4 linked regions of the Diceros bicornis minor genome follow. The protein of the gene in region 1 binds, or shares a complex with, the protein of each later gene. Links are inferred from orthologs where the notes say so. Each region holds a gene or a part of one and is shown on either strand. Other genes may lie near its edges.

The links.
Region 2: SF3B2 (region 1) and SF3A3 share a complex: the UniProt entries of both Homo sapiens proteins name them as parts of the 17S U2 SnRNP complex. The link is inferred for Diceros bicornis minor from reciprocal best matches to the Homo sapiens genes SF3B2 and SF3A3.
Region 3: SF3B2 (region 1) and SNRNP40 share a complex: the UniProt entries of both Homo sapiens proteins name them as parts of the minor spliceosome. The link is inferred for Diceros bicornis minor from reciprocal best matches to the Homo sapiens genes SF3B2 and SNRNP40.
Region 4: SF3B2 (region 1) and SF3A1 share a complex: the UniProt entries of both Homo sapiens proteins name them as parts of the 17S U2 SnRNP complex. The link is inferred for Diceros bicornis minor from reciprocal best matches to the Homo sapiens genes SF3B2 and SF3A1.

The regions. Positions count from the first base shown.
Region 1 is NC_080770.1:7,248,968-7,256,661, forward strand, and holds the start of SF3B2 (splicing factor 3B subunit 2), read right to left. Parts: upstream 3,081-7,694; 5' UTR 3,063-3,080; coding exon 2,930-3,062; intron 2,763-2,929; coding exon 2,713-2,762; intron 2,207-2,712; coding exon 2,129-2,206; intron 1,095-2,128; coding exon 846-1,094; intron 631-845; coding exon 580-630; intron 1-579. UniProt on the Homo sapiens protein: Component of the 17S U2 SnRNP complex of the spliceosome, a large ribonucleoprotein complex that removes introns from transcribed pre-mRNAs.
Region 2 is NC_080752.1:51,927,718-51,935,962, forward strand, and holds the start of SF3A3 (splicing factor 3A subunit 3), read right to left. Parts: upstream 3,216-8,245; 5' UTR 3,141-3,215; coding exon 3,045-3,140; intron 2,875-3,044; coding exon 2,827-2,874; intron 1,173-2,826; coding exon 1,120-1,172; intron 1,015-1,119; coding exon 909-1,014; intron 1-908. Other genes in the region: FHL3 (four and a half LIM domains protein 3), read right to left, coding at 7,584-7,738, 7,864-8,050, 8,175-8,245. UniProt on the Homo sapiens protein: Component of the 17S U2 SnRNP complex of the spliceosome, a large ribonucleoprotein complex that removes introns from transcribed pre-mRNAs.
Region 3 is NC_080752.1:46,266,649-46,274,090, reverse strand, and holds the start of SNRNP40 (U5 small nuclear ribonucleoprotein 40 kDa protein), read left to right. Parts: upstream 1-4,212; 5' UTR 4,213-4,227; coding exon 4,228-4,371; intron 4,372-6,610; coding exon 6,611-6,740; intron 6,741-7,442. UniProt on the Homo sapiens protein: Required for pre-mRNA splicing as component of the activated spliceosome. Component of the U5 small nuclear ribonucleoprotein (snRNP) complex and the U4/U6-U5 tri-snRNP complex, building blocks of the spliceosome.
Region 4 is NC_080774.1:23,863,455-23,871,514, reverse strand, and holds the start of SF3A1 (splicing factor 3A subunit 1), read left to right. Parts: upstream 1-4,897; 5' UTR 4,898-4,981; coding exon 4,982-5,044; intron 5,045-8,060. UniProt on the Homo sapiens protein: Component of the 17S U2 SnRNP complex of the spliceosome, a large ribonucleoprotein complex that removes introns from transcribed pre-mRNAs.

The sequences.
Region 1 (7,694 bases):
ACTTCATAAATATTTCCATGTATGTTGCTGTTTATGATTATTTTCTAATAATCCTGAGTAACTCAACCAGGTAACAACCGATGCGACCCACCTCTGGGGCTGCATGTCTTATGTATCATTCTGTAACTTATATCTATCGTGTTTAATCTAAATCTGATACAAATGACTAAATTAGCCCAGAGTCCTCTCTAAGGTACCTAAAATGATACCATGTAAGACTAGCAGAGGTCTGCAAACTTTTTCTGTAACAGGCCAGACAGTAAATATTTTAGGCTTCATAGACCGTTGTATGGACTACTGTATAGACTTAGTTTTTTTTTTTTTCCCCCCAAGAGTCCTTTAAATATATAGAATCCATTCCTAGCTCGCAGGCCATACAAAAACAGGCCGCAGTCCATAGTTTACTAACTCTTGAGCTACAGGGAAGAGAGAATTATTTGGGAGATACTGGAACTCAGTTGAGGATGACGTAACCTCCATGGAAAACCTGAATGGTGCATCTTGTTTTGGACACTAAGCACTAGAAGTGACAGCCAAGAGACTAGACCATGGGGTCAAAGGTTAGGATAAGGGCATTACCCGCTTCTGCTGCTCCAAGAGCTCATGTTCCTTCAGTGAATGATCTCCCTGCTTAAAAAAAGAAAACAAGCTCATACCAGCACCAATACCCCACAGGGCAGTCTGCCACAACTCTGCTTCCTGGGGTCCTTCTCCAGCCTAGGGCCCAAGTTCTAGTCTGTGGTCCAGACCTTCCCAGAAGGCTTGGCTCCAAGATCCAGCTCTGAGGCTCTACTCCCCATTCAGGACCCTGATGAGACCCAGGCCCAGGCTGCCACCTGGCCTACCTGCTTGGCACGCTCCTCTTGCTGCATCAGCAATGCTGCCTGCTGCTGCGCCAGCTTCAGGCGCTCCTCCTCTGACAGTGCCACAGGCTCACCCACCCGGAGAGGAGGCGGGGGCCCTAAGTTTGGAGGGCGGGGTCCAACGGCCATAGGAAAGCCAAGGCCAAGGCCTGGTGGAGGTGGTGGGGGTGGTGGAGGAGGTTGCAGAGGGGGGAGTCCCATGGGTGGTGGTGGCATGGGAATCCCAGAGAGCTGTGGAAAAAAATATGACCATAAACTAGGAAGTATTTATCTATTGCAGACCGTTCTTTTTTTTTGGTGAGGAAGATCGGCCCTGAGCTCACATCTGCCAATCCTCCTCTTTTTTTGCTGAGGAAGACTGGCCTTGAGCTAACATCCATGCCCATCTTCCTCCACTTTATATAGGACGCCGCCACAGCATGGCTTGACAAGCGGTGCGTTGGTGTGCGCCCGGGATCTGAACCGGCGAACCCCGGGCCACTGCAGCAGAGCACGTGCACTTAACCGCTTGCACCACTGGGCCAGCCCCTCTACTGCAGACATTTGTTGGGGATCTACTATGAGACAGCTGCTGAGATTCAAAGTCAAATGATACATAGTTCTTGCACTCAAGAAAAGAATACTCGATAGCAGTATCGAGAGAAGAGGATGCTAACTTTGGGGCACCAACCAACGAAAGCTATGGACTCTCTCCCCAGAACAATACCACGAACACAGACTTGGCATACAATTTCAGGAGATTCAAGGAGACCTCTAAAGACTATCTAGGGACTCCTCATCTCCCACACAGAAGTCAGTGGACCCCACGTCAGAGCCACTGCTCTAGAGAAAAGGAGTCAAATCCTGGATCAGAAAGAACATGGAAGTTGAGAGGACTTAAATAAATGGGAGCCAGTGTGCCCTGATGACTCAATAAATGTAGAGGGTATCAAATCAAATCAGGAAGTGAGCTCTAAGGTCTCAGTGAATAACATGGGAACTGTGCCCTGGGAGGGCAAAGAAGAGGGTGATTACTTCCAGCTGGTGGAGGATCAAGTCAGGCTTCCAAATACTAAACAGAATCTTAAATGACAAGTAGAATTTTGAGGAGCAGACATTGGAGGAGGAGGCAAAGATCAGGACCACCAGAGAACTGAAGAGCTCCCAATTCTATCACCGCAGTACCCCCCTACCCAATCTGCTAGTTGCATCCACAGTACACTGCATGTAAAAAAAAAGGCTACCCTGAGCAAAAGGGATCTTATAAAGTGGAACAACCTCCTCACCTGCGCTGACATGGGAGGGGGGGCAGCTTTGTCCCCATCTTCGCCTCTCAGAACCGGCCGATTCAGCACGATGCCAGTCTGCAAAAGAGAAAGGACTCTAGGTTGGTCCAAGAGGAGCTGTTCCAATAAACCACGTTCGCTCCCATTCATTCAACAAAATTTACCCAGTGCCTGTCTGCCAGAGGTCCGACTGGGCACTGGGGAAGAAGGTAGAGGTACAGAACAGAGGGGTAATCCCATGAGTGGCAGTAGCATGGGAATCCCAAAGAGCTGTGAAAAAAAATATGACCATAAACTAGAAAGTATTTTTCTACTGCAGACATTTGCCGGGGGTCTACTATGAGACAGGTGCTGGAATTCCAAGTCAAATGACACATTGTTCTTGCACTCGACGTGAGCAGGGACCTGGGAACAGGCACAGAAGCGATTACAACAGAGCAGGTAAAGGCAAGCACAGGCAAAAAGAGTAAGCCCCCACTTGGCGTGCTGAGGTACATAAAGAACGAAGACTGCTCTTCGTGAGAGGTCATGAAGGTCTCCTCCAGAAGCTCGGCCTATCCTGACGTCCCGCTGCCAACACTGACCTGACGGGTGTAGGTCTGCAGCCGCTCCACCAGCTCCTCGCGACTCCCTGCTGGGCAAAGCACAGGATCAATAGGGTAGGTCAGGCCGAGCAGGCCAGCCGGCCCAAGTCAGGCCCCAGCGTCCGGCCTCCGCCCCCCGCCTCCGGGTCTCCGGGGTAACCAGGCTCCGCTTCCCCGCAGGCCTACGCTGCCGGCTCTTGACCTCCGTGTTTCTCACCCTGGATCGGAGCTCCGATCTCTGCCAATTTTGCCTGAAGCTCCTGGGCAGCCCAGGCGCCATAGTGCCCAGGAGGCGGCGGCGGCGGCAGCTGCAAGTCTCCTTTCGGAGGCTCAGGATGCTCGGTCGCCATCTTAGCCGCAGGAAGGCGCGCGACCAACCCGGAAGCTCGGGCCAGCCGCAGGCACACGTCCCGAGACTTCCGGCGGCGCCGTGCGCCACGTCCGCTCGCGGGTTGGAAGGCCGTTTGGATGGAGGCTCACCCACTGCGTTCTGCAGCCGTCCCTAGGCGGCCTGGTCGCGAAGCCTTCTGGGAGTTGTAGTACGCAGGTCACGGCCTCTGCCCGCCCAACTCCCGGAGAACCGTGCGCGCCCACAAGCCCGGGAACACTGGGGGCCGGAGCGGGGGCGGGGCTGCGGGGAAAGCTGGTCCCACCCCGAGGGCGTGCTTTCTGCGTCGGACCGGCCGGAGCGCAGACCGCTAGCCTTCCGGCCCGACTCCCTGGTCAGGCGTGAGAGGTCCGGACGCTTACGTCCCCGGGGAGTCCCGAACTACTCATTCCCTCGGCGGCCGCGCATTGCGGGCGCCAGGCGGGAGGTTGCAGCCGATGCCTGTGATAAAACAGTGTCTGATTGTCTGCCCGTCCACCCCCGGCGCAGGCAAGGATTGAATGGGCTGAAAGGGGATCGGAGCCGGGAGAGGAGCGGGCCGCCCGGGCTGGGCTCCAGCTGCCAACCTGGGGGAAGGGCCACACTAAAGCCCCTTTTCCCACCTTCCAGGCTGGCTCAAATGTCGTCTCAGCCTTCTCCGGCTTTCCTTCTCTTCCTTGGAGTTCCCATAACACGTTCAAACCTCCACCATTTGCTTTGAAGTCTTGCCCCTCCTCCCCTCTTCCATCCCCAAGAACGTGAGCAGAGATCTTGTCTTTTTACTGTCGCGCAGCACCTGGCGTTCAAGAGGCGCTCAATAAAAGATTACTGAAAAAAAAGCAAATGGAACAGTCTTTCTGGCGACAGGATTTGCGTCTCTTTTAGTCTCGAAAATAAACTCAGGACATTTTCTTTCCTCGTTCCCATCAGCCTCTAGGTGGGGTCCACCCTTCCTCGGCACCAGTGGCCTGTGCGCCTGAGGGAGGGATGGGCAGGTGCCCTTGCCTGCCCAGCTTCCACCTCTCCCTGCCCTAACCTGTCAATTCGGTTTCTCTCCCCACCTCTGCCACTAGCTCTGAGGTCCCTCTCCCATTCTAGCTCTGCCCTCTCACTGACAGCCAGGTTCACTGCCTGTGTGAGTGTGTATGTGTGTGTCGGGTAACAGAGCCAGGAAACTCAAGTGAAGTGGTCTCTTTTTCCCCACACACCCGCACCCTTCAGACCTTCTCTCCAGCATGCTCCATTTCACTGACTGCCCCCAACAGAGGAGTAACTGGGAACAGGGGGGGAAAATGTGGTGCCAGGTCCAGGGAAGGTGAGGTTTAAGAGAGACAGAGGAAACGACTGGGCCAGGACTGTTGCTCACATCCCGGCCCTGGCTAGGAAATTCTCTTCACTCCTCCCCAAACCATGACCTTTCCCTGTTTCATCACTGCCACCATCCCAATCTCCTGACACTCTCAGAGGAGAAGCTAAAGCCAGAACGGACAGACAAAAGAAGAATGGTGCCCTCCCCCTAGCTGGTCAGCCCACTCAGGCAGAACCATTCCTGACCCAAAAGAAGTGTTTTTCTGCTCCCTGTAACCAGAGAGCTGCTGGCAGCTCCTCTGAGGCTGGAGGCCCCCAGGCATGTGTATGTGCTGGGGAACAGGAAGGGGGTCTCTAAGGCAGGATAAACTAAGAGCTGATGGGTGAGGACGTAATGTAAGTAGGGCCAGAAAGGGAGGGATGGGCCAAGTGGGGCCTCATTTTATCATAAGCCCTGGGACCCAGGCAGGGTAGGACCCCCCCATTGTGCATAGGAGAAGACTGAGGGGCGGAGAGAAGCTGACGTGCCCAGGGTGTCAAACTGGGACCACAAGCAGTTCTCCTGACTCTGAGAGTCCCCATTCCTTTCTCCTCCTTAACAAGGACCCTCACACAATACCTACCTGTGTGGCTGTGGAGTGGAATCCAGTCCCTTCCAGTCGCAGCTTTGGGTGGCTGCCCCAGCTCCAGGATCCTTGTCATACCAGGCCTAGAGGGCAGGAGAAAGCTGGGGTCCATGAGAACCCCAGAACTAAATGCGGGGCTCTTGGTGTCTGGCGTGACTTTGGGAAGTGCTCCTGCCCAGCTCCCAGGTGGTAGGAACTAAGGGCTAAGAAGGCAGTAGAAAATTCAGGACCACCCCACACACATGGGAGTTCACAGAGAGCCTTCACATGTATCCTCTCTGCAGTCTCAGAACAGCTCCCCATTCTAGAGCTGGAAGCCTTCCCAGGGAGGTGCCTCTTGACTCTGGGACTTAAGTTCAACCGGGGTTGAACTTGGGTTCTCTGATTCCCAGTACAAGGTGCCTGGGCAGGGGTCCCAGGGCCACTAAAGCTCTAGTGGGAAGTGAGTGGGTCTGGAGTCCTGGTGGAGAGTAGGAGGGGGTCAGTAGCAGGGGGCTGCCTCAGGGGCTGGAAGGGAAGGGGTTCCCAGGGGTGTGAGGGCAGATGGGACCAGACCAGGGGCCAGAGCTGTGCTTCTCTGCTGGAGGTTGAAAGAGGAGAAAGAGAGGAGGGAGGGAGCATGTGGGTGCTGGGAAATGTACCTGTGTCTCTAACTCCTCTGGGACCCACCAGCCAGCCCAAGGTTGACCAGCCGAGCCCAGGAACGCCTAGCAATGCCACAGTACCCAGATACCTTCTGGGCCTCAGTTTCCCCTTCTGTAGAGTGAGGGCAAGGAGCTGGTCACATTGGTATCCAGACTCTGCAAGATTGCCCGGGGAAGATGCCTGCATCCGAAGACGCCACTGGAGAGTGTTAACTGGCAGTCTGCGAGTCAAGGCTGCCCCCTCCTCTTCCCGCTCCCCTCTCCCTCCCCCTCCTGCGCGGCCGGGCCCCCGCCCCCGCCCCGCCTCCGGTGTGCGATGGGGGGCGGGCGGCGGGCAGAGCTGAGAGGAGCGGAGCCGAGCGGACGCCGCCACCTGATCCCATCCAGGCGCGGAGAGGAAAGCGACCGGCACTCGGCACGCAGGGCCCCCGGCGCCCTCGCATCCGCAGCGGATTTCGGGACAAGGGTTCGGAGGTAGCGGCGACCGGCGACCACCCCGGCAGAGCCCGCGCGCCGTGAGTACTGCAGTGGCCGGCCTGGGGCGGGGGTGGACCAGATCGGGATGGGGGATGAGGGGTGGGCGGGAGAGTGTCGTGCGGGCCTAGTGCCTGGAGAGCATGAGATTGGGGGCGCTCTGTCCCCTGGGGAGTGGGAGAGGGAGGGGTGAGAGGGAGAATCTGGCCTATCTCCTATGGTGACCAGACCCCGGTGACCGGATCCCTGGGAGAGGTTGCAATAAAATTGAGGGAATGGGGGCTTGGGGGATAGTGATGGAGAGAGGAGGATGAAGGGAATTCGGAGGCAGGAATGACGGGCCCGGTGGATGGCAGAGAGAGGGGGCTGGTTGGGACCTGGAGCCGGCTGGGGGGAAAAAGGGAAGAAAAAGAGGGAGGTGGAAAGATATTTGATCTCCTAGGCCACTAATTCGAAGCCCCCTCAGCCCTTGTCCCTTTCCTCTCTAGTGCCCTAGGCAGTTTCCCTAATCACTGGGCTGTGCCATCCTCAAGTAAGGATGGAGTCTCCAGGTCATCCAACGGTCAGGTCCAGGTGTTCCAGGCCAGGGCACCCTCCTCTTCTAAAGGCACCAGTATTAGCCCTAGAGCTTGGAGGAGAGAGAGAAAAGGGTTCATTTGGGAGTGGGTGGGCGTCCAGGCCAGTTTTCAAAGCTCTGGCTAGCTATCCCCTTTCTTCTTTGGTTCCCTGGAGAAAGAAAAGCAATTTGCAAAACTGGGCAGTAGCCTGAGGTAGGCTGTTCTGACTAAAATTAGCACTGATATTCTGATGAGGCTGGGCACCCTGACCTGTCTGGGACGGCTGTGGGAAACTCTCTTCGTGGAGAAGACACGGGGGAGGCTGGGGAGTAGTTTGAAGCATGTGAGGTGCAGGAGCCAGGGCCGTTGCTCTGAAGCCTGCCCCGGACCGCCACCCACCCTACACCAGCCTGGAAATTACACATAGAAACCTAGCCCCAGGTGGCCCCCTTCCCAGGTGCCAGTGCCTTGACTGCATAGGGAGAAGAGACATTGTGGAGTGAACTTGCCAGGGAAGGGAGGCCTCCTCCAGTGTCCAAGCAGCACCCTCCTCGGGACCTGGAATGTTGAGGCTGGCCAAGTGCCCACCCAGAGGAGACAGGCTTACTGCTTTCAAATACCTGAAGGTCTGTCATGGAGAAAAATGGTCCATGTGGCCTAGGAAGGCAGCGCTAGCAACCATACAGAGTGGAAGGTGGAAGGAGACAAGCTGAGAAAGGCACTACCAGCAGTAGACTAATCCTAGTGTCCCAGAAAGAACTTCTGAACAGCCAAGGCTGCTCAGAAATGGGCCAGGCTGTATCTGAAGGTGATGAACGTCGCATCATTGACCGTGGCCAAACAGAAACTGGTGCCCACCTGGGAGGGCTGGGGTCCAGGGAATTCTTGCACTGATGATGCCCTGTTCTAAGTGGGCGTCAGACTGGGGTCTGGCTGGCTGGGTCCCCAGGGCTAAGCCATGGAGGGGAGTGGGATAGAGGAGGCCACCAAGTACCCCATCACCTTC
Region 2 (8,245 bases), on another chromosome or scaffold:
CAGTCACCTAACTTCAACTGCTCACGGGACACTTCTACCTAGATACAACATCACCTGAAAATCTACATATATAAAAATTCATTTTCCACTGCAAACAGGTTACCTCTTTCCTGTTTCTATGAAGGGAACAAAGAACTTCCCAGCTACACAGTCATGAAAGCTCAGAGTAATGGCGGACTCTCTCTCTAATTCTCCCCCTGCACCTAGAATTCCTTTGGTCAGCCGTGCAAGATGCTTAATCAGTTCTAGATAATTGAGACATAATCCCTGCTCCTTATAATCTTACAATATAGTGGTGCAGACATTCATCGTCATAAAATACGAGAGGACCATAAAGAAAAGAAAGCTTAATTGGGAGGGGTAGACTAGTAAAGATATTTCATGGAAGCGTTGGCCTCTGGGCTGAGTCTTGAAGGTGTAATGATCCCTGGAAGTGAGTTAAGCCCTTTGTGTTAATTGGGTCCTCTAGGTAGCAAATTTCGAGACAGAGTTACATTCACAGGCAGTTTATTGGAGGGTAATACTCATGAAAGATAAAAAGGAGAGAGGAAAATTGGGCAGGGAGAGCCTAGGTCATGACGCAGACAGGACAAAATCTTGACCAATCCAACGGGGAGCTCTGGAATAGACTACTCACTAGAAGAGTCTTGCACTGGGCAGAACCAGCCAGGCCATAGTACCCCCACTGTGCTCAAGTCACTGGCTGGGGGTGGCCCAGGAAGAGAATGGCCTTGGCTTAAAGCGGAGGGGGATCATGAACGCACTGGAGCTGCAGGATGTCAGCTAATGATGCTCCCTGCAGCTAAATGGCAAGTTCATTTCTGATGGGACATCTGAGCAGCACGTCTCCATTTTCCTTTACTATGCTATTCAGGCAGGTTTGGAGAAAACACTTTCTGAGGCCATACCTCATTTGGGTGCTTCCGGTGGAATTCCTTTATTTGCTTGAGTCTATTATAGAATTCAGCAAATTCATTGGGTCCTGAAATGGCACTGAGCTCCTCCTTTCGTAACCTGCAATTGCAGGAAAAATCCAAAGAACATAGAGCACAAAGTCAGTCCTTTAACCATGGCTCCTCAAAAGCACTAACTCCTGCATTGGCTGTGACTGTCACTTACCCATCCTTATCATCATACAAATCCCTCAGGTTCCCACTGACTTCCATATACCTCTGAAAGGCAAACAGAAACCCATCAGAATGAAGCAATCTGTACAACCACAGAGCTAAGCCACCAACAAGGACTCTCTAGTCAGAGCCCAGGGAAACCTGGGGAAATGTGGTATTAAAAGTTCCCGTGCAGAGGGCTGGCCCCATGGCGTGGTGGTGAAGTGCGTGCGCTCCACTGCTGGCAGCCCGGGTTTGGATACGGGGCGTGCACTGACGCACTGCTTGTCAGGCTATGCTGTGGTGGCATCCCATATAAAGTAGAGGAAGATGTTAGCCCAGGGCCAGTCTTCCTCAGCAAAAAAGACAGGAGGATTGGCATGGATGTTAGCTCAGGGCTGATCTTCCTCACACAAAAAAAATAAATAAATAAAAGCAAACTCTTGGGGAAAAAACCAGAATAAATATTCAAAAAAAAAAAAAAAGAGTTCCTGTGCTTTCTAGTACCTTTAACAGACAGCACTGGTTCCTGATTAGTTTTTAAAACAGGCCAATTTGAAGATTACCTAAGTGATGTGATTTGAGGGGTGGCATCGAGTTCCTATATTTACATGTTACTGATGATTAACTTTCTCTAGAAGAGTCATCAAAGAGAGCCATATAAGACAGTCACCCTTTGCTAAACAGCAATTCCCACCTAAGACCCTCAAAGATAAAAGGGTGGTCGAAGATGATTTTCACTACTTCAAAAAGTTTGACTGAAGAATGTACAGGCTAAATAAACTTCCTTTGGATTCAAACTCAGGATGGTACAGGTACATAGCCCCTTCTCCAAAGCTTTTGGGACCAGATTTGTTTCAGAATTTGGAATTTTTAAATTCAGAAAGGTATTATATATTATGTAATATCCCTAGTGGAATCTGGAACACATATTAATAGTTCTGCAGTGAAACTCACCTAATATTTACTAAGTGAGATAAAGACCACAAAAGCCTCTCATCTGTTCAGGTCAGGTTTTGCTGCCAAATGAGATCAAGTGAGATTCTGCCACCAAGTAATTACTCCCTCACAACCCCCTTTGTTTTCAGAGTATTTTGGATTTGGGAATTTAGATAAGGAACTAGGGGCTCGTAAGACTGACTATCTCCTGCAAATCAGAAACTCTGATGAGGTCTTTTATTTCTTTCTAAAGACATCTCAAACATATACAAGAGCAGACAACATAGTATATAAACCTCCATTTACCTATCACTTAACTTTAATAAGTACCAACATTCTGATTTATCAGTTTTCTAAAAGTAAGAAATTAAACTATTACCAGGTAAAAGCAGTTTGGTAGGCACAAATACTTCAAATCAGTGTTCTGGGAGGAAAACACTAACGGACAGCATTCTCTTCCGGGCAAAAGAGGTAGTACTTTCTGGGCCCCAGTCACTGACTTCTAATAACTATTCCCTAGACATCCATGGGACACAGGATACTGTAAGAAGGGGCGTCCCTCCGAGTAACGGAGAAGAGTACGAGTCGCCCGTTCAGAGACGCGAGGAAGGGCAGTTAGGCACCCTCGGGACTGGGCGCCGCGTGGACATCTCCAGGCCGACAACCCGCGACTGGCCAGTCCGGTTACGTCTGGCCAGGGCTCCCGCTGAGCGGCCGCACCCGCCTCCCCGCCTTTCCCGCGCATCCCGCCCAGCCCGACGCGGTCGGCGGGGGTACTCACGTCCTGCATGGCCCGGGTGCGGTGGTCCGAATTGATCTGGTCCCGGAGCTGCAGAGGCAAACGGGGACACGGCGCCGTTGCTCGGAGGGCTGGGTCCCGGGAGGAGGGGACCAAGGCGGGGGCTCGGGGAGGGGCCGGGGAGGGGCGCGGGGAGGGTCAGAGGGTCAACCCGGGATGGGCCCGGCCTCAGAGGGAGCCCCCGCCCAGGCCCCACTCACCGTGGACTTCTTCGTGAGCATCTCTTTCGCCATGACGTCCATGAGCCGTTCCTTCTCTTCGTGATATCGCCGTTGCTGCTCAAGAATCGTCTCCATCTTCCCTGGGCCCCCGGACCTCTATTCAGACCACCTACACGGCCGGAAGCAACTCCTGCCGCCTCGCGCGCCCGCGTCCCCACGCTGTGCGTCCGGCCGCACTGAAGTTCCGCGGGTACCGGAAGTGCCTCGGGGACTCGAGGAAAAGTGAGCACCGAAAGGAGAGCCAGTCTGGGCTATCGAGATGGCAGCAGTGCCCCCTGCTGGCCGGAGGTGTGGTGGCGCGACGCCGAGCGGTTTGCAGGTGCCTCTAGGGGGCATACAGAAATCCCGGAACCTGAGGCGAAGTGCCGGCTTCCCGGGGCTTCCTGGCCAAGCAGGCAGGGCCACTGTGGACTGAAGAGTAGTGGAAAAGCATGGATGGGAGTTGGGGGACCGGAACTTGAGACCCTTACTGTGTGTGAACTCTGACAGCGTTTTTCCCTTCTCCGGATCTCAGTGTCGTTGTCAGTAAAATGGGGATGATAGGGTTTTTTTTTTTTTTTTTTTTTTTTTGTGAGGAGATCAGCCCTGAGCTAACATCCGCCAATCCTCCTCTTTTTTTTGCTGAGGAAGACGGCCCTGGGCTAACATCTGTGCCTATCTTCCTCCACTTTATATGGGACGCCGCCACAGCATGGCTTACCAAGCAGTGCGTCGGTGCGCGCCCGGGATCCGAACCAGCGAACCCCGGGCCGCCGCAGCGGAGCGCGCGCACTTAACCGCTTGCGCCACCGGGCCGGCCCCTGTTTTTTTTTTTTTAAAGTAATTCACATGCAGAAACAACCTAGTTGTCTAACAGCAGGGGACTGATTAAATAAAATATGGTACATCAAAGTAGTGAAATGCTATACAGCCGTAAAAAAAAAAAGAATGAAGCAAGTCTATATGTCCACTTCTAGATGGCAAAATGAAAACGTGTGTCCGTATGTTCAGATGTTCATAGCGCCGTTATTCATCATCAACAAAAACAGAACGCAACCCCCAAATCCATTCACTGGTGGATGGATAAGCAAAATGTGGTCTATCCATACAATGGAATATTATTCAGCAATAAAGGAATGCTACAATGTGGATGAACCATGAAAACGTCATGCTAAGTGGAAGAAGCCATACACAAAAGACCATATTCTGTAGGTCCAGATGAAATGTGCAGAAAGGCAAATCAATAGAGACAGAAAGTAGATGAGTGGTGGCCTGTGGCTGGAGGTGAGAACGGAAGTGACTGCAAATGCGCACAAGAAATCTTTTTGTGGGTGACAGAAATGTTCTAAAATTGGATTGTGACAATAGTTGCACAACTGTATTAAATTTGCTAAAATTAATTGAATTGTACACTGTGAATGGGTGAATTTTATGGTATGTAACTTATACCTCAATAAAGCTGTTAAAAAAATCTGTATGAACTCATAGGGAAAGATGGCCACACAAAGTGAAAAAAGCTAGACGCACAACAGTGTGTATAAAAATAGATGCACAAACAGATTATTTCTGTAAGGATAGCCAACTAACAGTAAACAGGGGTTGTTTATGAGGAGATAGCCTGGAAGATCTGGTACAGGAGGGAAATTTTTCTTTGTATATACCCAAAGGAGAGCATGAAAAGTTTTTTTCTTAACATGTACATGTATTACTTTTTCAATTGCAAAATAAACTTAAAACTAAAAATGAAAATACATATATGCACATGAACCTTAACAAAAAAGAACTAGGAGGCTATAATATATCAAGGAGTTGTTAGTGATTTATCTTTTGTTCCCTTTACTTTTTAGAATTCTCCAATTTTTCTACAATAAGCATACATTGTTTTTTAATTTTAAAAATAACATAGGGATAATGACTCTTGTCTTGCTTGCTCATGGGGTGTTGTAAGGGTATTTTATGTCTAAAAATTTGAACAACCTTAGGGAGAGGACTCCAGGCATAACTCCTCACCACAGGCTTTTCCTGCACCACGAGGAAAAAAAAGTAAGAGATCTCCATTCAGGATCAGAGAGATGAAGAGATGAACCTTTTTTTTTTTTTGGTAAGGTTTGGGATCTACTGTATTTCATCGAATACCAGATGCCAAATGTTAACCCCACCATGTTCCACTAAGAAAGAAAAAAAAAAATTGTCAAATTGTGTCGGTTATATAATGATTATACAATTATATGATGATACAATGCTTCTAGGTTTCTGAGATGTGAAATCTAAAAAACGTTTATCTTGAAATCAATGCCAAGGTTTTGTACCTGCAAATTTCTTCCTCTTAGGTAGATGGACCACCTAAGCAACACCACTTACTTGATGCCTTCCTTCCCCACTCCATCAAACCAGTCACGAAGTCCTGTCTTTTCCGCTCCTGCTGCCACCTGCCTCATCATCTCTCACTTTGACCACTGCACTAGCCTCGGAACCAGCCTGCTCATCTTACCCTCCAATCCATTATTCATGCTGCAGCCAGAGTGATCATCTCACCCCTGCTTAAACATTTCCACTGGCTGCTTCACCCGCAGAGTGAGGTCTGTTTAACTTGGCATTCGGCTCTTCCTGACCTGGGCTCTGCCTGCCATTTAGCCTCTTGGCACTTCCTCCAAGTGAAATTACTTGCTGCTTCCCCAAAGCACCATATGGTTTTTCAGGCCCCCAGGCCTTTGCGCCAGCTGTTTTCTATGCTTGGACTCCTCCTCCTCAACAAGTATTTATTGAACATGTAGTAAGTGCCGGGACCTGAGGATGGAGGGGTGAGCAAGGCAGGCGCGAGCCCAATCCTCCAAGTGGCTGATGGGAGAAAGAGACAAAAATGTGGAATGTCTAATTATTAATCATAAACACACACGGTGGGTATTCGTAAAGGTTTGTTGGAAATGTCAACCAGGGCCTCAGAAAGTTTAGAATTGGAATTAGGGAAAGCAGTGTGAAGCGGATTAGAATCCCAGAGCTACCAGTGACTACCTATGTGACGTTGGGGAACTGACGAGTCTCCACCTCCGTGAAATGGAAAAATGCCCGCCCCGTTGGATTTCTGGGAGTATTGAAAATGAGATACAGACAATCACGCGGTTGCCCCGGGCCCGAGGGCCCCTCCTGCCCAGGGCGCGAGGGTCCGCCCACCCCGAGGCGCGGGCCCCCACCCCCGGAGGCTGCGGGCGGGACGGTGAGCGCAGGAGCCCGCGCGTACCGAGTGTGCGCACGAGCGGACTCCGGCGGTTCCGCCGCGGAGCCCAGACCGCAGGCCCCGGAGGGGGCAGGGGCAGGGGGCATGGGACGCTGGGTGAGGGGAGCAGCGCTCCGCCCCATCTCCCCACTTTGGGGGGCAGCCCCCCTCGCTCATTCCCGCCTCCGCCCTTGAATCACGGGGGGGCGGGGCCATGACCCATTCATGCCGGGAATCGGATCCAGATGTTCCCGCGGCGCGTGCAGCTGCATCCTTGCCTTTTTTGGCAAAAAACGTGCGGCCTCGAGCGGATCCCGGGCCGCCTCCGCTAATCCTCGGGAAGAGGGGGAAGGGGGCCGAGGGTCTGGGTCCAGGCTGGGCATCCGCACCCGGTGCTCTGCGGGATTTGGGAAGGGCTGTTAGGGGAGGGGGGCGATTTGTACCAGACCTGGGAACCCACCGCCACCCCCGCTCCGGTCCAGAGCCTCTCTCAAACCCCTCCCTTCCCCATATGGAGGAAAACGCCCTCCGCCAGCAGGGGGAAGGTAGGCTTAGCGTGAGAGGGACAGTGACAGCAGTGGAGATCCCCTTTCTCGGGCGAGATTTCCCACGATCCTCAGAGTCCCTCCGTCTGCGAAGAAACCTTCCTTCCCCCTCCATCCGCAAACACACACATACAGGCCTTCACTTCCTCACACTGCTTTATTGCAGAATCTGGAAGGGGGTGAGCCGATCCCACCCCTCTGCCCATCTCCGGGCAAGATGAAACTGAAATGAAATCAGAAAACACTCATAGGACACGGGCTGGGCAAAACCCTGTACCCTAGGGCCCCCTAACCAGTGAACCCATTCTGCTGCCCAGACAGCCCCAGCCCTGGGGACAGAGGTGGGATGGGGTGGGGAGGGTCAAGCCTGAGGATAGTCCACCTTGCAGGACTGCTCAGGCACCCATAGGAGACCTACAGTCTTGGGAGAGAAGTCTAGATTGAAGGGGGCCTGGGTCCCAGAGTCCAGGTTTGGAGGGCTGGGGGTCTAGAGCCCTGATTTGGGGAGGGGGTTTGGTCTGGGAACCCAGACTGTAGAGGAGAGGGCTGAGTCCTGGAGTCCAGGCTTGGGGAGGGGATTTGAATCACAGAGGCTCCAGAGGAGCCCAGGTTTGGGGGCCCTGGGTCAGGGAGTACCAGTTTGGGGGATGTTGGAGTAGGGAGGCTGAATCCTGGAGCCCAGGGGGAGCCCCAATTTGGGGAGGGGCTGGATCCCAGAGATGGTTTGGAAAAGGAGCCTTAGTCCTGGAGCCCTGGTTTGGGAGGGCCTGGGGCCCAGACTCAGGGCCCCGCCTGGCTGCAGCCCTGGCATAGCACTTGGTCTCCGTCGGGCACGAAGCCCTGGCCCACCAGAGAGGTGGAGCAGCGGGCGCAGGAGAAGCAGCTGTGGTGCCAGTGGCGGTCTTCAAAGGACACATACTTGCCTCCGCCGAGTCCTGGAGGGAGGCTGGAGGTTAGCTCTGCAGATCTAGAGGGCAGTCCTGCCCCTCAGCCTCACCCAATACCAGATGCCACTTCCTTGCTTGCCCCCACCCACTCAGTCCTTGGACCCTTGTCCCACCTGTGATGGGGCGCTTGCAGCTGCTGCACTTGGGTGCAAAGAGTTCTCCAAAACAGGCCACGCAGTAGGGATCATCATCCCGGGAGGTGAACTGCTGCCCTGCCAGGGGTGTCTGGCACCCAGTGCAGACCAGGCATTCTCGATGCCAGGGCTGGTCACGGTATGTCACACCACCCTGTGTCAGCGTCTGTGGGGGCAGCATCTGTCAGTAGTGGGGAGTGGGGATTCCCGCCCCACAACAGAGCCTTGCTCGCCTCCACCTCTGAGTGAGGTGGCGATCAGCACCCCCACCCTGCGGGCCCCGCCCCCACCTTGCTGCAGCGGGCGCAGCGAGGAGCAAACTTGTTCTCATAGCAGGGCACGCAGTAGTGAGCGCCCTTGT
Region 3 (7,442 bases), on another chromosome or scaffold:
GACTATCTTAGACAGATGCTTCTTCCTTTTTTAAACTCCAGTCATGGATCTGTTGAGAAAATGGTCAAAAGCAGGAAAGAGAAAGAATAGTAAAAAGAAAGGAAAAACACAAAACATGGACTCATAAAATGTGAAAGTTGAAAGGAATTATGGAGATCATTCAGCCTATTACTCCTATTTAACTGAAAATGAGCTAATAGAGGTCAGCTTGACAAAGGCTGCCCACAGTTAGCCACGTTTGTACTAGACCCCAACACCTGTTCTTACGCTACTACCCCACACTGTTCTTTCAGTCAATAATCCCTAAGGTCCTTTCCAAGCTCTCTAACAATAATAGCTAATATATGAATGCTTCCTATTTGCCATGTATTAACCTAAAAGCTTTACTTGTATTAACTAATTTAATTCCCTTTTTGACCACCCTAAGAGATAGGCAATTATCGTTGTCATTTTACAGATGAAGAAACTAAGACACGAGAGAGGCTAAGTAACTTGCTCAAGATTACAAAACTATCAATGATGGAGACAGGATTCAAATCCTATTTACAAACATTTTTTCTTCCTTTTCTAGATTATGAAATTCTTCCAAGCATGCCGTTGTCTTGCACATCATATCCTTCAAATCTCTAGAGCCTAGCACAGTGCAAAGCACATAGACATTTCTGTCTACTGAAATACTGAAGTACTTAATTTTACCCTACTTTAAACTACCAATTCAGCACATTTATTGATGTTTATATGTCAGGCACTTCATAAACCTCCTTCAATCCTTAAAGCAACTCTACAAAGTAAGTATCCCTGTTTTACAGGAATGAAGTAACTAGTACAAAACTCATAGCTAGAAAGAGACAAATCTTAGGCCATTCCAAGGGCCACACACACTTGCCACTAAACCACCCTTTTCAACACAGTTCCTGTCCTCAAACACTTCCTAGTTTGGTAGAGATAATGGTGACCAATTACAATGCAGTATGATCAGTGCTAAAACAGCAGCTAGGTTCAAAGTACTAAGAAAACAAGAGGAAAAGAAGGGCCTAGGGGAAGCAGGGAAGTTTAAAAGGTAACAACTGAGTGGGCCTTTAAGGATAAATGGAAGTCCTCTGGCAGAGAATACTGTTCTTTGACCTCATTAGAACCCTGATCTATTGACTTCTATTTTCTTCTAATCCATCAGCCCTCTCCTTTTACCTCAACTTTTCTCTCTTTCCAGCTTAGATTCCACAGTCTATCATTCAAACAACACCCTGAGTTCCCCCTAACTCTCTGTCATTACGGCTCACCTATCTGGCAGTACCCCCACCAGCTGCAGACACCAGGACCCATTCTAGCTAGGTTAAGCAGAAAAGGATTTATTGCCAGGTATCGGCTTACAAAACTACTGGAAGGGCTATAGGAAGTTCTGGTAGAACTTCCAGGAACAACTCCTAACCCAAAAAATAACACAGTCTTTGTCACAATCAAGAAAGTTATGGCTATCATTGCAGAAAGTCACTAAACCAGAAAGCTGCTGACTAAAGAAACTCACTGCCTCTACCATAATATTTGCCAGCAAAACTGGATGCCTCTCACACTCCTTCTCTCCACATTTAACTCAGTTCCAAATTCAATTCTCATCTTAGGTGCAAAGGAGCCAGGAAATAGTTTTTAGCACCCCAGACTTTTCTGTAAGAGAAGGCACATTAAAGGTGGGAATGTGTGTTGAGCAAGCCAAACCCACGGTCCTTGCCATATCTGCATATGTTTTCTCCATGTCTGCATTGAGCCTGATGTTGCTGGAAATAAAATATGATCCCCAACTTCATATGGGCCCATAACTCTGCACGACAATTCTACATCTCTCTGGTAAACCCATTCTCCCACACACTCTACAATGATTTTCAAATCTTCTGCAACCTTCTCAAATCTCTGACTTCCTCTCACTCTAAGTATATGATCCTATCTCCTACTTTACAGAGAAAATAAAAACCATGAGAAAGGAACTCATTTTACCAAAACCAAACATAAGAACAACCTATATCTACTGCCTTCACTTCCTTCTTCCTTTCTGTTAAATGGAGGACTGTCCATCTTCCCAAGGCTGCTCCCTCTAACTGTACTTTGCATCCCATCCATTCCCATGTTCTCAGAACACTATCAATGACCGAATTTGTCTCTTGTGTATTCAATTTCTCCATCGCCCTCTCAAGTGGATTCCTGGTGACCCCTCATCTCCTTCGGCTTCCACATCCTCTCCTCTCATTTACAATCATATGTATGAAAAACACTCTTTAGATTCACTGCCTCCGATCCCTTGCCTGAATCTTTGGCTTCTGGCCCCATCACACCAACAAAATAACTCTCGCTAAGGATACCATGAGCTCCACGATGATACAGCCAACACACATTCTTCAATTCTCGTGTTTTTTAAATTCCAGTTTCTGACACTGGCCATTTCCTTGTTTCTGAGACAACATTCCTCTGGTGCTCCTCTCTAGCTCTTTTTTCTCTTCTTCTCCTGTAGGTTCATCCTCCTGTTCTTGGACATTAAATGCTGGAACTACTCAAGCTTCTGACTTAGGGGATCTTACCCACACCTATCGCTCAATTATCACCTATATGCAAATTACTCCCAAATATATATCTCCAACAAAAATCTCTCTTCTGAGTTGCAAAGCCATATTTCAAATTGCCTCCTGAAGTCATGAATGACCTCTCCCTTCTCTACCAATGAAATAAATACTCTGTTGCATAAGCCAAAAACCTAAGAGTTATCTGTGATTCCTCTCTTTTCACTCCCTGAATCCAAGCCATCGCCAAGTCCTACTGACCCTACCTCCCATATATCTCTAGAATCTGTCCAATTCTCTGCAGTTTCACCAATACTTCAGTCTACACCGCCAACAACGCTCACTTAAAGGGTCTATCTGCATCTATCTCTCTTCAGATCTGTTCACACTACTGAGCCTGAGGGATTAAGTTACCTCCTCCACACACTCCCTCCCCCTCAAAAAACTACCCTCAGTGGTTTCCCATCAGTCTTCAAATAAAAGCTACAAAGTCCTGCAAGGTCTGCCCTCTACCGGCCTCCAGCTTCATCTTGGACCATACTTCCCTTCATTCTCTTTGCACTGGCCACACTGGCCTCTTTGTGCCTTTGAGGCATTTTCCTCCCATTTGCCACAGGGCCTCTGCACATGCTGTTCTATATGGAATATTCTGCCTTCCTCTCTTCACCCAACTAATTAGAATTCTTTCTTCAGGCATCAGTTCAGGCATCTTCTCCTCAGACAAGCCTTTCTGCTTATTTCAGGCCCTCATAACCTCAGGCACCTCTCCTAGACGGCACTTATTTCACATTTCTCAGGGAGATCATTGTTTAACATCTGTTTTCCCCACCAGACTCGAACCGCTGAAGTCAGGGATCACATATCCTCAATGCTTTGCCAAATAAATATCAATTGGACGATTAAGGAGAAGATCTATTTCACAGGTATAAGTCCAAATTTCTCAACAAGACTGCTCTGGAGAAGCAAGAGTCGGACTTTTCCTCCGTCCCTGTCTCTCTCAGGGACACAGAGCAGGCCCTAGGAGAGGCTGCAGAATCAGTGGCAGAAACAAGTCGGCCTCCTCACTCAGAGAGGATCCAGGCCGTTTCTCCCCGGGGGCCTCCGGCACCGGACTGGACACAGTAGCCGCCTGCTGAAGGAGTCCGGCGTCGAGGTGCCCAGGCAGCCGCAGCGACCCCCAAGGCTCTGCTCCAGCACAGAAAGGAAACCAGGCTACTACCCCCCAGAGCCAGGACCTTGGGGCCCGCCTCCGCCCCTCGCAATCAAAACTTCAGCTGAGAATGGGCAGGCTCAGACCATATCACCGAGGCGCCGCCTCCAGATTCCGCAGCCACCCACCCCGACATTCCTCCTACTTACTCTCCGTCAGCTGCAGGTCCCCCGGCCGCAGCATTGCGCGAAACGCCGCAACCCAGTCAGCGCGGTTCCACCCACAAGACACAGCGCGCCTAGGCGGGACTGCAGTTCCATCCACCAATCCTGGAATCGTACTCTCGTGACATCAGAGACAGCTAACCAATAACAGGAGACTATCCAGGGGGCGGTGCAGAGGGGAATATTGGAAGTCGATTGGTTCCTCCAAGCCGGAAGTTCTAGGGGAAGGACTAAGTCGGAGCCAATCGCGCGGTGCCTGAGGGTGTCGGCGCGGTCAGTGGCTGCGCTAAGGAGAGCGGTTGCCGCCATGATAGAACAGCAGAAGCGCAAGGGTCCAGAGTTGCCGCTGGTCCCGGTCAAGCGGCAGCGGCATGAGTTGCTGTTGGGAGCCGCGGGGTCGGGCCCCGGAGCGGGGCAGCAGCAGGCGGCGCCCGGAGCTTTGTTGCAAGCGGTGAGTGAAGTGGCAGGCGGCCTTCCGCCCTCGGCTCATCCTTCTCTCTCCTCGGAGCGTTGCGCCGGGTGATCTCGCGGCGGCCCTTTCTCCGCGCTGTGGGGGCGGAAGGAGACTCGGTATCTGGAGTTAAAGCCGAAAACGTTGTAAAAGCGGCCGACACCCTGCAGATGCTCCTCACGTTTCCCCGTTTGACGCCGGTTTTCGGCGTCTCGACCGCCCTGTGAGGTGGCGTTAGAATTAGAGTTAAGGATCTTGAGCTCAAAACCGGCGTTAGCATCCTAAATCTTCCAGGATCCGGCGTAAACATTCAGAAAAGTTTGTAGAATGGATGGAGGAAGGAAGGAAAGAAGGAAATGAGTGATACTGGATCGCTTTGGGACTTTGGGCAAGTTGCTTTTCCCTTTATTTCTGTGCACTAGTATTAACAACTGAATAATAGCTAACCTTCATTGAGCCCTTGTACCAAGTGCTTTATATGTGAAAACTCCTTTAACCTTGGTAACAGCTTAAGAGTTAGGAACCATTATTATCCCATTTTGTAGCTGGGAAAACAAACTCTTATCTAGTAAGTGATAGAAACAGATTTTAAGCCCAGAATCCATGCGCTTAACTGCATTTCTTGTAGGTTAGAGATAATGATCACATCTTTCCTTCCGTGCTGTTAGGCTCGGATGAAGAAATACATGTGTGTCCCCCCTCTCTCAACTCCTCAACCAGCCGGTCGGCAAATCCTGTTTGGTGTTGTCCTCAAAATATATACAGAATTGCTGTGGCCTCCATCACTAACTTGTGGTCTAAGCTATTATTATCTCATTATTATTATTATATACTATTATGTTGTTATCTGATTATTGCTGTAGAGTCCTAACTGGTATTCCTGTTTCTGCTATTATGTAATCAGTCTATTCTCAATCCAGCAGCCAGAGGAGTTCTTCTAAACTGGCAGATCATGTTACTCTCTGCTGAAAACTTTCAGTGGCTTTCCACTTCACTCCGAGTACAACTAGAATCCTTACAGTCTTTTGCCGGCTTTGCCTTTACGTCTCTGATCTACCAATTTTCCATTGCTCACCCTGCTCCAGTGACACTGGCTTCCGTGCTCCTGCCTCACAGCCTTTGCATTTGCTGCTCCCTCTACTTGAATACTCTTCTTCCAAATGTGTGCATGGTTTACACACATCTCCAAATTTTTGCTCACATATCCCTCTTTCAGTGAGGACTGTCCTTACCAGCGTATTTTAAATTGCAATACCTAGTACTCACTAACCCACATTGCTGCTTTTTCTGTTGTACCACCATCTGTAGGTTCTAGTTGTTCTCTCTGTCCCTCCCTCCTTCCCACTAGAACACAAACTCCATTGTTTATTTTGTTCACTGCTGTTTTCCCAGTGCCTAGAACAGTGCTTGGCACGTAGTATTTTTCTTAATAAATGAGTAAGCTGGAAATTACTGAAGAGATTTGGGGATTATTGATAGTGTACTTATTCTTCCACTGACAAGTAAGAATATCAGCCCAGGTTTCGGTGAATTGCCCAAGAGTAGGCTTATGTTGAGACCATAATCAAAACTACTTTCCCCAATAATCTGTACCTTGCAGGGTTGTTGGGAAGCTCAGTTCAATCATTCATTCTTTAATTGAACTAGAGACTGGGAAAACAGTGTTGAATGACCCAGGCAGGGGCCCTGCACTCACAGAGCTTCTTTTCTAGTAGGGAATAAAGACAAAATATGTAAACAAATACATAAGGAGGGTAATTTCAGGTAGTAATAAGTGCTGTGAGGGAATACAGTAGGGTTCATGGACTAGAGGGGCAGTGGGGCACTGCTTGAGTTTGAATGATCCAGGAAAGACTTTCTGAAGAGGAAACATTTGAAAGGAGCCAAACACAGGAAGATCTAGGGGAAGAGGATTCCTGTCAGGGGCAACAAAAGTGTAAAGATCCTGAGGCAGAAATGAGCTTAACATGTTTGAGCAATTAAAAGTTGGCTATGGGACAGGAGCAGAGTGAGGAAGGAGGAGTGTTAGTATAACAGGTAGACCCTGGAAACCTCAGCAGGAGAGTATCAAATTGGAGGTGTAAGTTATGTGAGAAGAGCTGTCATTCTCTAAATCAGAAGAAATTCGTTCACTCATTGTTTCCCTTGTCTTTTTCCTCCACCCACCCCCGCCTCCACAATTGTGCAGCCTCCTTGGTCTGTATGCAGTGACTACCCTGTACCTCTCTCTTTTGTGTAGGGCCCTCCAAGATGTTCCTCCCTTCAAGCCCCAATCATGCTTCTCTCAGGACATGAAGGGGAAGTGTACTGCTGCAAGTTTCACCCCAATGGATCCACCTTAGCATCTGCAGGATTTGACCGACTAATATGTAAGGCATAGTTTTTGAATCTGGAGTGATCGCTCTCTTCCCGATAGTGATTATTTTTAAAACCTTCAGTGCCACAGAAGGTATCAGTCTGAGTTGGTCACATGACAAACTACAGCTAACATGCTAAAATAGGATCAAGAAAATGCTGAATAATCTTGGGTGTAGAACTTGGGGGTCCATGTGGTAAATACAGAAGGAATTACGTTACTAGTTAGAAGGTGAGTTGCTGTAGTTTGAGACTATCTTCCTCATGGAGGCAAATCTTGAGCTGATTTTGCAAGATAAGAGATCCATGTTTAACAGGTTAATGGGAGTAATAGAGAACTTTTTCCCAAAGGTATGAGGCTCTCCTCCTGATCCACTTTCAGAATCTTAGCATATAGGAAGGAAGGAAGGGATCCTAAAGTGACAACTCGCTTGGATAATCTACCTATACATCATTAGGATCTGCTACCAAATTCTCAGCTACTAGTCGGGAATACCCGTTTTTGAGGAATAGGTAGAAAAAATCAGTTTGGGGAGTCATTAGGAAAAGCAAGAGAGAAGATAACAGAAACATCTGACTTTTTGCCTTCTGGCATCGTTTGCCACATTGTGAGATGAATTGAGTCCTTTGGCTCTGCTTATAACTCTGTACCTCAAGGTGGATGATATCTGTCTTCAGTGTTTTGATTTAGATGTTCTAGTTCTGTAATCCTTAAA
Region 4 (8,060 bases), on another chromosome or scaffold:
TTGGGGGTTTCACCCTCTGGTAGCTGGTGTCAGAGCCAGCACTCTGTTCAAAGCTGGGCAGCCCTGTGTGTGCTGAGCCCTGGTCCCTCCCCACTCTGCGGAAGGGGCGCTTGTCCCTTGTGGATTTCTCAGCAGCAGAAAGTGCTTCCTTGCACTACAGCTCCTCCCTGCAATGCAGGGGCTGCTTGGGCAGTATTTAGGCCACGGCCACTCTGACCCCCACCAATCCAGGCTTGCCTGGGAAACCTCTCTTCCTCCAGCCTATTTCTACCCCCAAGCCTCCCTCATCTCAGAAAATAGCACCCCTACTGAGTGCATCTGGGCACTTCCTCGAATCCCCTTCCTTTACCCCCACGTGCAAGCAGTGAGTGATGCCAATCCTACATCCGGACCACACTGAGAATCCACCGCTTCTGTCCATTGACACTACTCCACACTCCACTATCTCCCCAGGCCACTGCCACAGCCTCCCTGAGGGGTCACCCTCTTCCCTCTGCCCAGCAAAACCTCGCCCACCCGTTCTGTATACGGCAGCCAGAGTGATCAGCTTTCTCCAGCATAAAGACTGGAACACTTCCCCAGCTCCGGCCCTGCGTGGTCTGTTTCCATCTCAGCTTCTCACCACCCAGAATGTGCCCCGTCCCCATACTTCCTCTTGATAAGATACCTCCCTCAGGTACCCAGCCAGGTGAGGTCCCCTGGTACACATTCTCAGAGCATCCTGTTCTTTTCCCTCCCAGCACACACCACACTGGCACTGAATCACTGAGAAATTATTTGCGGTTGGCAATTCATCTCCCTGCGAGCACATGGACTGTCTTTTGAGTTCACTGCAGTATGACCTGGACGCCTGGGCCAAGGGACCTGAGGGCCAGCCTGTGCCCACAGGTGCTGGGAAGCTCAGAGGCACCCAGGGGTGGTTCCTGAGAGCTGAGCAGGCCTCTCCGGCCTCCCAGAGGACTGGGCCCTGGCCTTACCTCTGCCCAGGTGCCTGCTCCTGGAGCTGGATGTCTGAGTGTGTCGAGCTCTTGGACTAGGCTTTGGGCTCTGGGGCTCAGGGTCAGAGGATCACCCAGGTGCCTGGCTTCCTGTATCCTGTGTGAGGGCTGGCCCCGAGCAGCTCTTCAGTCCCTGGGAACCAATGAAAGCAACAGTCAGTGACTGGACACTCAGAGAGGGCTCCCTGGGGGGCAGGCAGGAGTCTGTCCGGGAAGAAAGAGAGGGTGATCCAGGCTGGAGGAATGGGGTGGGAAAGGGCAGGTGGGATGGCCTGCATTGAGCCTGAGCACAGAGGGCACACTTCAACAGTGCTAGCTCTGACTGCAGGACCTACTGTGTGCCACTTCCTGAATCCACTTCCTTTATACAGATGAGAAAACTCAGGCTCTAGAAAGTTAAGGGGCTGGCCCAAGGTCACTGAGGGAGCTGGGATTCTTGAGTCCAACATTTATGCTCTGTATTCAAACTATGCTGCTTCTAGAGCAGCCCTGGCCAAAAGAAATATAACGCAAGCCACATATGGGATTTTAAATTTTCTACTAGTCACATTAAAAAAACTAAAAAGAAACCAGTAAACTAACTTTAACAATGTATTTTATTTAACCTACTATACTCAAAATATTATCACTTCAATATGAAATCAATACAAAATTATTAAGGAGATTTTCTTTCTTTTTGGGTGAGGAAGATGAGCCCTGAGCTAACATCCAATGCCAATCCTCCTCTTTTTTGCTGAGGAAGATCGGCCCTGGGCTAACATCTGTGCCCATCTTCCTCTACTTGATGTAGGACGCCGCCACAGCATGGCTTGACAAGCAGTGCGTCAGTGCATGCCCGGGATCCAAACCCGCCATTCCCGGGGCCAGCGAAGCGGAGCGCACACACTTAACCTCTGTGCCACCGGGTCAGCCCCAAGAAGATTTTCTTTTCTTTTTTTTTTTTTTGTGAGGAAGATCAGCCCTGAGCTAACATCCATGCTAATCCTCCTCATTTTTTGCTGAGGAAGACCGGCTCTGAGCTAACATCTATTGCCAATCCTCCTCCTTTTTTTCCCCAAAGCCCCAGTAGATAGTTGTATGTCATAGTTGCACATCCTTCTAGTTGCTGTATGTGGGACGCAGCCTCAGCATGGCCAGACAAGCGGTGCGCCAGTGCACGCCCAGGATCCAAACCCGGGCCGCCAACAGCGGAGCGCGCGCACTTAACCGCTAAGCCACGGCCCCCAAGGAGATTTTCTTACAGTCTTTTTTTGCATTAAGTCTCAAATCCAGTGTCTATTTGACACAACACATCTCAATTTGGACCAGCCACCATTTTCAAATGCACCACCACATAGGCTGGTGGTTACCAGACTAGACAGTGCAGGTGTAGAGGCTCAGATCTCATGTGTTCATTCAGCAAACAGTGACTGAGTACCTACTACGTGCTGGGCACCATGGCAAGAATAGGGCCAGAGGGGCCAGCCCGCTGGCGTAGCAGTTACGTTTGTGCATTCTGCTTCAGTGGCCTGGGGTTCGTGGGTTTGAATCCCAGGCACAGACATACGCACCGCTTATCAAGCCATGTTGTGGCAGGCGTCCCACATATAAAAAAGTAGAGGAAGATGGGCATGGATGTTAGCCCAGGGCCAATCTTCCTCGGAAAAAAGAGGAGGATTGGCAACAGATGTTAGCTCAGGGCTAATCTTCCTCATAAAAAAAAAAAAAAGAATAGGGACAGAGCAAGGCACACAGAGCCCTATCTGCCAGGAACCACCATCTATGTCTGAGGGTCTCTGGAGTGGACAAGTCTTGAGTGTGTCAGCTCTGTCAGTTCCACCCACAGGGCGATGAGTAGCCGTCCCACAACACTCAAATACACACACAAACACACCCAGGCCCACATCCCGCACACATATGGTGCCTTGGTGACTGCCTCTCATGAGATATTGCCACCTGTGAGATTTTATGTCCCCAAGGAATGAGGCAGAAGCAAACAAAAAAAAAACAACAGACTGAAACATTCCAGTTTCCTTCCTGGAATGGGAGGAAGGAAATAAATAAAGAAAGCAAGAAACTCCACCCTGGGAGAAGGTGTATTCAAGTGGCACCCGGACCTCAAGCGCTTGCTTGCAAAGACACCAAGAAACATTGACCTGTTCCTCAAATAACTATGGCCATCTAGGGCCATCTGAGATGCCAACTCCTGTTAGATTCCAGTTCTGAGAGGCAGCAGCAAATGCCAAAGAATCAAGAATATACAAGAGGAAAACACAGCATTGAAAAATATCCAAGGTTACCTTATGTCATTTCTTATGAACTTTGGGGATTTGCAGATATAAGCATGGTTTGAGAACCACTTAGGTGTGTGTCAAGTGAAGGAGCATTTGACACAGCTTTCTCTGTAATTCCTGGGTCTTGAGTGGAACCCTCAGCCTGAAGCTGCCAGCCCTGCACTGGTCCCGAGCTCACACAGGCAATGGCCCTAACTGAGCCAACACTGCCTGAGGTAGGAACAGCAGCTAACTCTGCCTCTCCTCAGTTCCCTCAAGCTCAAGGTGGACTTTTGATTCACAGAGAAGGTAAGGAATCTTTCCTCCACTCCTGTTCAACATTCAAGCCCCTTCCCTTTCTGAGCCCTAAGACCTACCTCTCTGGTAAAGATTATGCCCACCTCCCGGCCAGTGTGCTGAGATTCCAGGTGACCACCATGAAAACACTTTGGAAACTCTAAAACCATCAATATGGTAGTTGTCAGTCTCTGATTCAGGATTGCTAATTGCCTGGATCCCTGGGGACAGTGAAGGGACTGACTGAAGACAAAGGAATAAGTAACTGCACAAGTAGAGGAGTAAGAATGGCCTGGGTTTGGATTCCCACTCCACCAACTCCAAACTTCACTATCCTCAACCGTAAATAAGTTGCTGTAAGAAATAAATGACGTAATGCACGTAGTCTTTGGACAGGGTCTGGCTCACGGTAAACGTTCAATAAATCCTAGCTATCATTATTATTCTACATTAATAATAACAACAATGACATAAACCAGCTATGGTGTGTGTGTGTGTCTAAGAGAGAGAGAAACAGGTAGGAGTCACAGGAGGCCATTTTTTTCCTATCATCCCCCCATTTCACAGGTGAGGAAATTGAAGTCCAGGCAAGGCCCGCATTCCGGAGTTGGGAGGGAGGGGAGAAGGGACAGAGAGAAGAGGATATCAGGAGGGGAAGTGAAAAAGGTGGGATTCGAGGTGGGCCAGGGGAAGCGGAGGAAGTGGTCTGCAGAAGCACCTGTGGGAGTGAGGGGTGGAGCCTCAAGAAGCAGCCCTGATTTGAGATGGTCCATGAGGCTTGAGGGCGGGACTATGGACGGCAGGAGGTGGAACCCAGAAAAGGCGCGCCCACAGGAAAAGGGACCAGTGGAAATTAGGGATTCTGACTCCGGAAAGGAACCTGGGGGAGGTGGGCATGAACCAGAAGAGAGGGTTTAAGAAGTAGGGAGGTGGGGCTTTGAGGAGGCGGGCCCGAGGGGGCTCTCCAAAGAGAGGCCAATGGGAGGGAGCGGGGGCCTTAGAAGGCGGGGTCGGAGGGAGCTAGGAACCCACCCGAGGAGTAAAGGAGAGGGGGCGCGTGCGGGGGGCGTCTGCCATGTGGAACATCTCACCAGTCTCCGGCGTCACAGCCTCAGCCCCTGTGTCTGGTGGGCTCATGGAACTGCTCTCGGCGCGCCCGCCGCGCCTGGGATCTCCCACAAACCAGAGCCGGGCGCCCCGACCGCTGCCATGGCAACGGCGTCTCGCGCGGGCCGCCTCATGCGCGGAAGGGGCGGAAGTGACGCCACGGAATAGGGGCGGGACCGGAAGTGCGTCAGCCTCGCCTCCTCGGCTACGACTCGTTCGGTCGCCGCCATCTTGCGAGCTTGTCGTACTGTTGGTGAGGGGAAACTCTTTTGACGGAGCACCGCTCACCTACACCGAGGCGGACTGGCAGCCCTGAGCGTCGCAGTCATGCCGGCCGGACCCGTGCAGGCGGTGCCCCCGCCGCCGCCGGTGGCCACCGAGCCCAAACAGGTACCGCGTCCCCCGCACCTCTACCGGCAGCCCGAGCCTAGGCCTGGGCCCTCCCTCTGGCGCGGGCGCTCCTCACTTTTGCAGGAAGGCTGAGGAGGGCTTAGAGGGACTGCAAGTCCCAGGAGGCAGCGCGCTTCCTACGCTGCTTTCCGGTAGCGCAACGAGCTCACTACAACAGTGGTTCTCAAAGTGTGGTCCGCGGACCAGCAGCATCAGCATCACCTGGGAGCTTAGTAGAATTACAAAGTCTACACCCCAGACCTTCTAAATAGGAATCTGCATTTTAACAAGATTCCAGGGTGATTCATTCGAGTTTGAGAAGCACCGATCCGGCCCATCCACCGGTCTTCTGTTGCATTTGGGTTGCCGGCCCCCAGCCTTTGCCCAGTAATCTCTATAATTTCCCAGCCTGCAGGGTACATCTTTTAACGTTAATTTGCAGCATCTGTTCGGTGCTTACTCTAAGCCAGACTCGGTGCCAGGCTCCGACGTTACCGGAGTGAATGAGGTACAATTTCTGCCTTAGAGAGCTCACCGACTAGTGGGAAGCTATACGTGAATACTCAACAAATGTTTATTGCCCCGCCAGTGTAAATGATACAGTTCCAGCCAGTCCTTAAAAAGATCTCAAACAGGTGAGGAGGAAAGATGTGCATAAATAATTGCGTTATGGTGTGATTGTCTCTATAATAGAAGTATCAGGTTCGAGTAAGACAGTAATCTAATCAACGTGGCTTTGATGAGATAGAGTGGAGATTAAGGTGGGTGAAGCTCACAGGAGTGAGGTAAATTGATTTTAGGAGGATGCATAAGAGTTCACCAGGTAGGTGGTTGGGGAAGGGAAATAGCATTCTTTAATCATTCATCAAACATTTATTGAGCACATATTGTATACTAACCACTGCTTAGAGTTCAGAATACAGTGGGGAACATGACAGAAGAGGTCCGTCCCCTTTCCACAAACATGTAAGTGCCCATGTGTCCTGGCGTTTTCCCAGTCACTGGGGAAAAATAAACAAGGTAATACCAAATAATAATGCAAAGATACCAAGATAGGAATCAGATGGCCCCTCTGGTCATGGGTAAATAAACAGGTGTGGTTGAAGCACAGCATTGGATAACTGGTGGCAGGAGATGGGATTCTCAGAATTTGAACTTTGCCTAGTAGACAACGGGGAGAAAATGAAGGATATTAAGCTGGATAGTGACATTGTGTTTCAGAAATTCAGCTAGGTAGGCAGTGATGTGGAGAATTGCTAGGAGGACTGAGGATTAGTCACTTTATTAAAAAAAAAATGCTGAGGATGGGTGATGAGGCAGAGGGTCTGAGCAAGTTCGTTTCACAAAATGGCTCATAGTACAGGCTCTCCAGCCAAAGTGATGTTGGAAATTTGGTTCTGTCATTGAGGGCAGTTAAGCTCTCCATTCCTCAGTTTTGTCATCTGTAAAATGAGGATAATAAGAGGACTGACTTACCTTCTGGGGTTCTCACGAGGGTTATAAGAGTTAATATATTTAAATTGCTTAGGGGGCCGGCCCCATGGCTTAGCGGTTAAGTGCGCGCGCTCCGCTGCTGGCGGCCCGGGTTCGGATCCCGGGCGCGCACTGGCGCACCGCTTCTCTGGCCATGCTGAGGCTGCGTCCCACATACATCAACTAGAAGGATGTGCAGCTATGACATACAACTATCCACTGAGGCTTTGGGGGAAAATAAATAAATAAAATCTTTAAAAAATAATAATAAAGTGCTTAGGAAAGCATATGGTACCTATTCTGTGCTTGACAAATGTTATTATCATTGAATGTAGAGGCTGAGGAAGGGAGAGGAGGCCCAAGTTTCTGGCCTGGGTGACCAGGTACATGGTTGGCCATTCATCAGGAAAGAGGTTAGAGATAACAGTGCTCAGGAGTCAACTGGGTCTGGCTGGATAAAGCTCTGGGATGTCAATTTGGATGGGATTAGAGGTGGTACGGGAAATGGAGGATGTGGTTGTGAGTGCATCACTGAGGACAGTGTGAATACTATGAAGAGAACCAAGAACAGAATTCTGGGGGTGCTCGATGTTATAGGGCAGGAAGTGAAGGAAAGGAGCCAGGCAGGAAACTTGGAACGTATGGTGAGCAAGAAGGAAAGACAGGTGAGAATAGGGTGTGGGAGTTGAGGAGTGGAGAACTTTGTGAAGGAGTGGTCACTGGTCACAGAGCCAGATCACCACTGTAGTCAGTTTTTGACTTTGGCAAGAGCACTTGAAATGGATGAGGACCAAATGGGAAGTGAGGAAGTGGGAATGGCAAGACTGGGAGAACTCAGGGTGTTTAGCTCCGGGGCTGGGGGGGAAAGGGGGGAGGGAGAAGGCAGCAGCAGAAAAGAACGTGAGGGCAGGGGAGAAACTTGATTTTTCTTTCTTTTTTTTTGTGACGAAGATCGGCCTTGAGCTAACATCCATGCCAATCCTCCTCTTTTTGCTGAGGAAGACTGGCCCTGAGCTAACATCTATTGCCAGTCTTCCTCCTTTTTTTTCCCTTTTTCTCCCCAAAGCCCCAGTAGATAGTTGTATGTCACCGTTGCACATCCTTCTAGTTGCTATATGTGGAACGCGGCCTCAGTATGGCCGGACAAGCGGTGCATTGGTGCGCGCCGGGGATCTGAACCCCGGGCCGCCAGTAGCGGAGCATGTGCACTTAACCGCTAAGCCATAGGGCCAGCCCGAAACTTTATTTCTCTTAAGATGAGAGATTTGACCCTTCGTTTGCTAAGGAGAAGAAGCTAGTGAGGAAAGAATATTGATACTTATGGGACAATTAACGTTGAGTATTCCAGTGGAATTTCACAAAACATTTGAGCGTTGAGTGTGGTTCAGACTATGGAAGGGATGCAGAAGGAAAGGACATTCAAGGCAGAAGGAGCTGCCAGCAAGGAGTTTCCTGTTTCTTTATTTAGCAAACAATTGTTAAATATCCTGTGCTAGGCACATCCTGGGGTATGGGGATACAGACATGGCCTTCTGGATTCTGG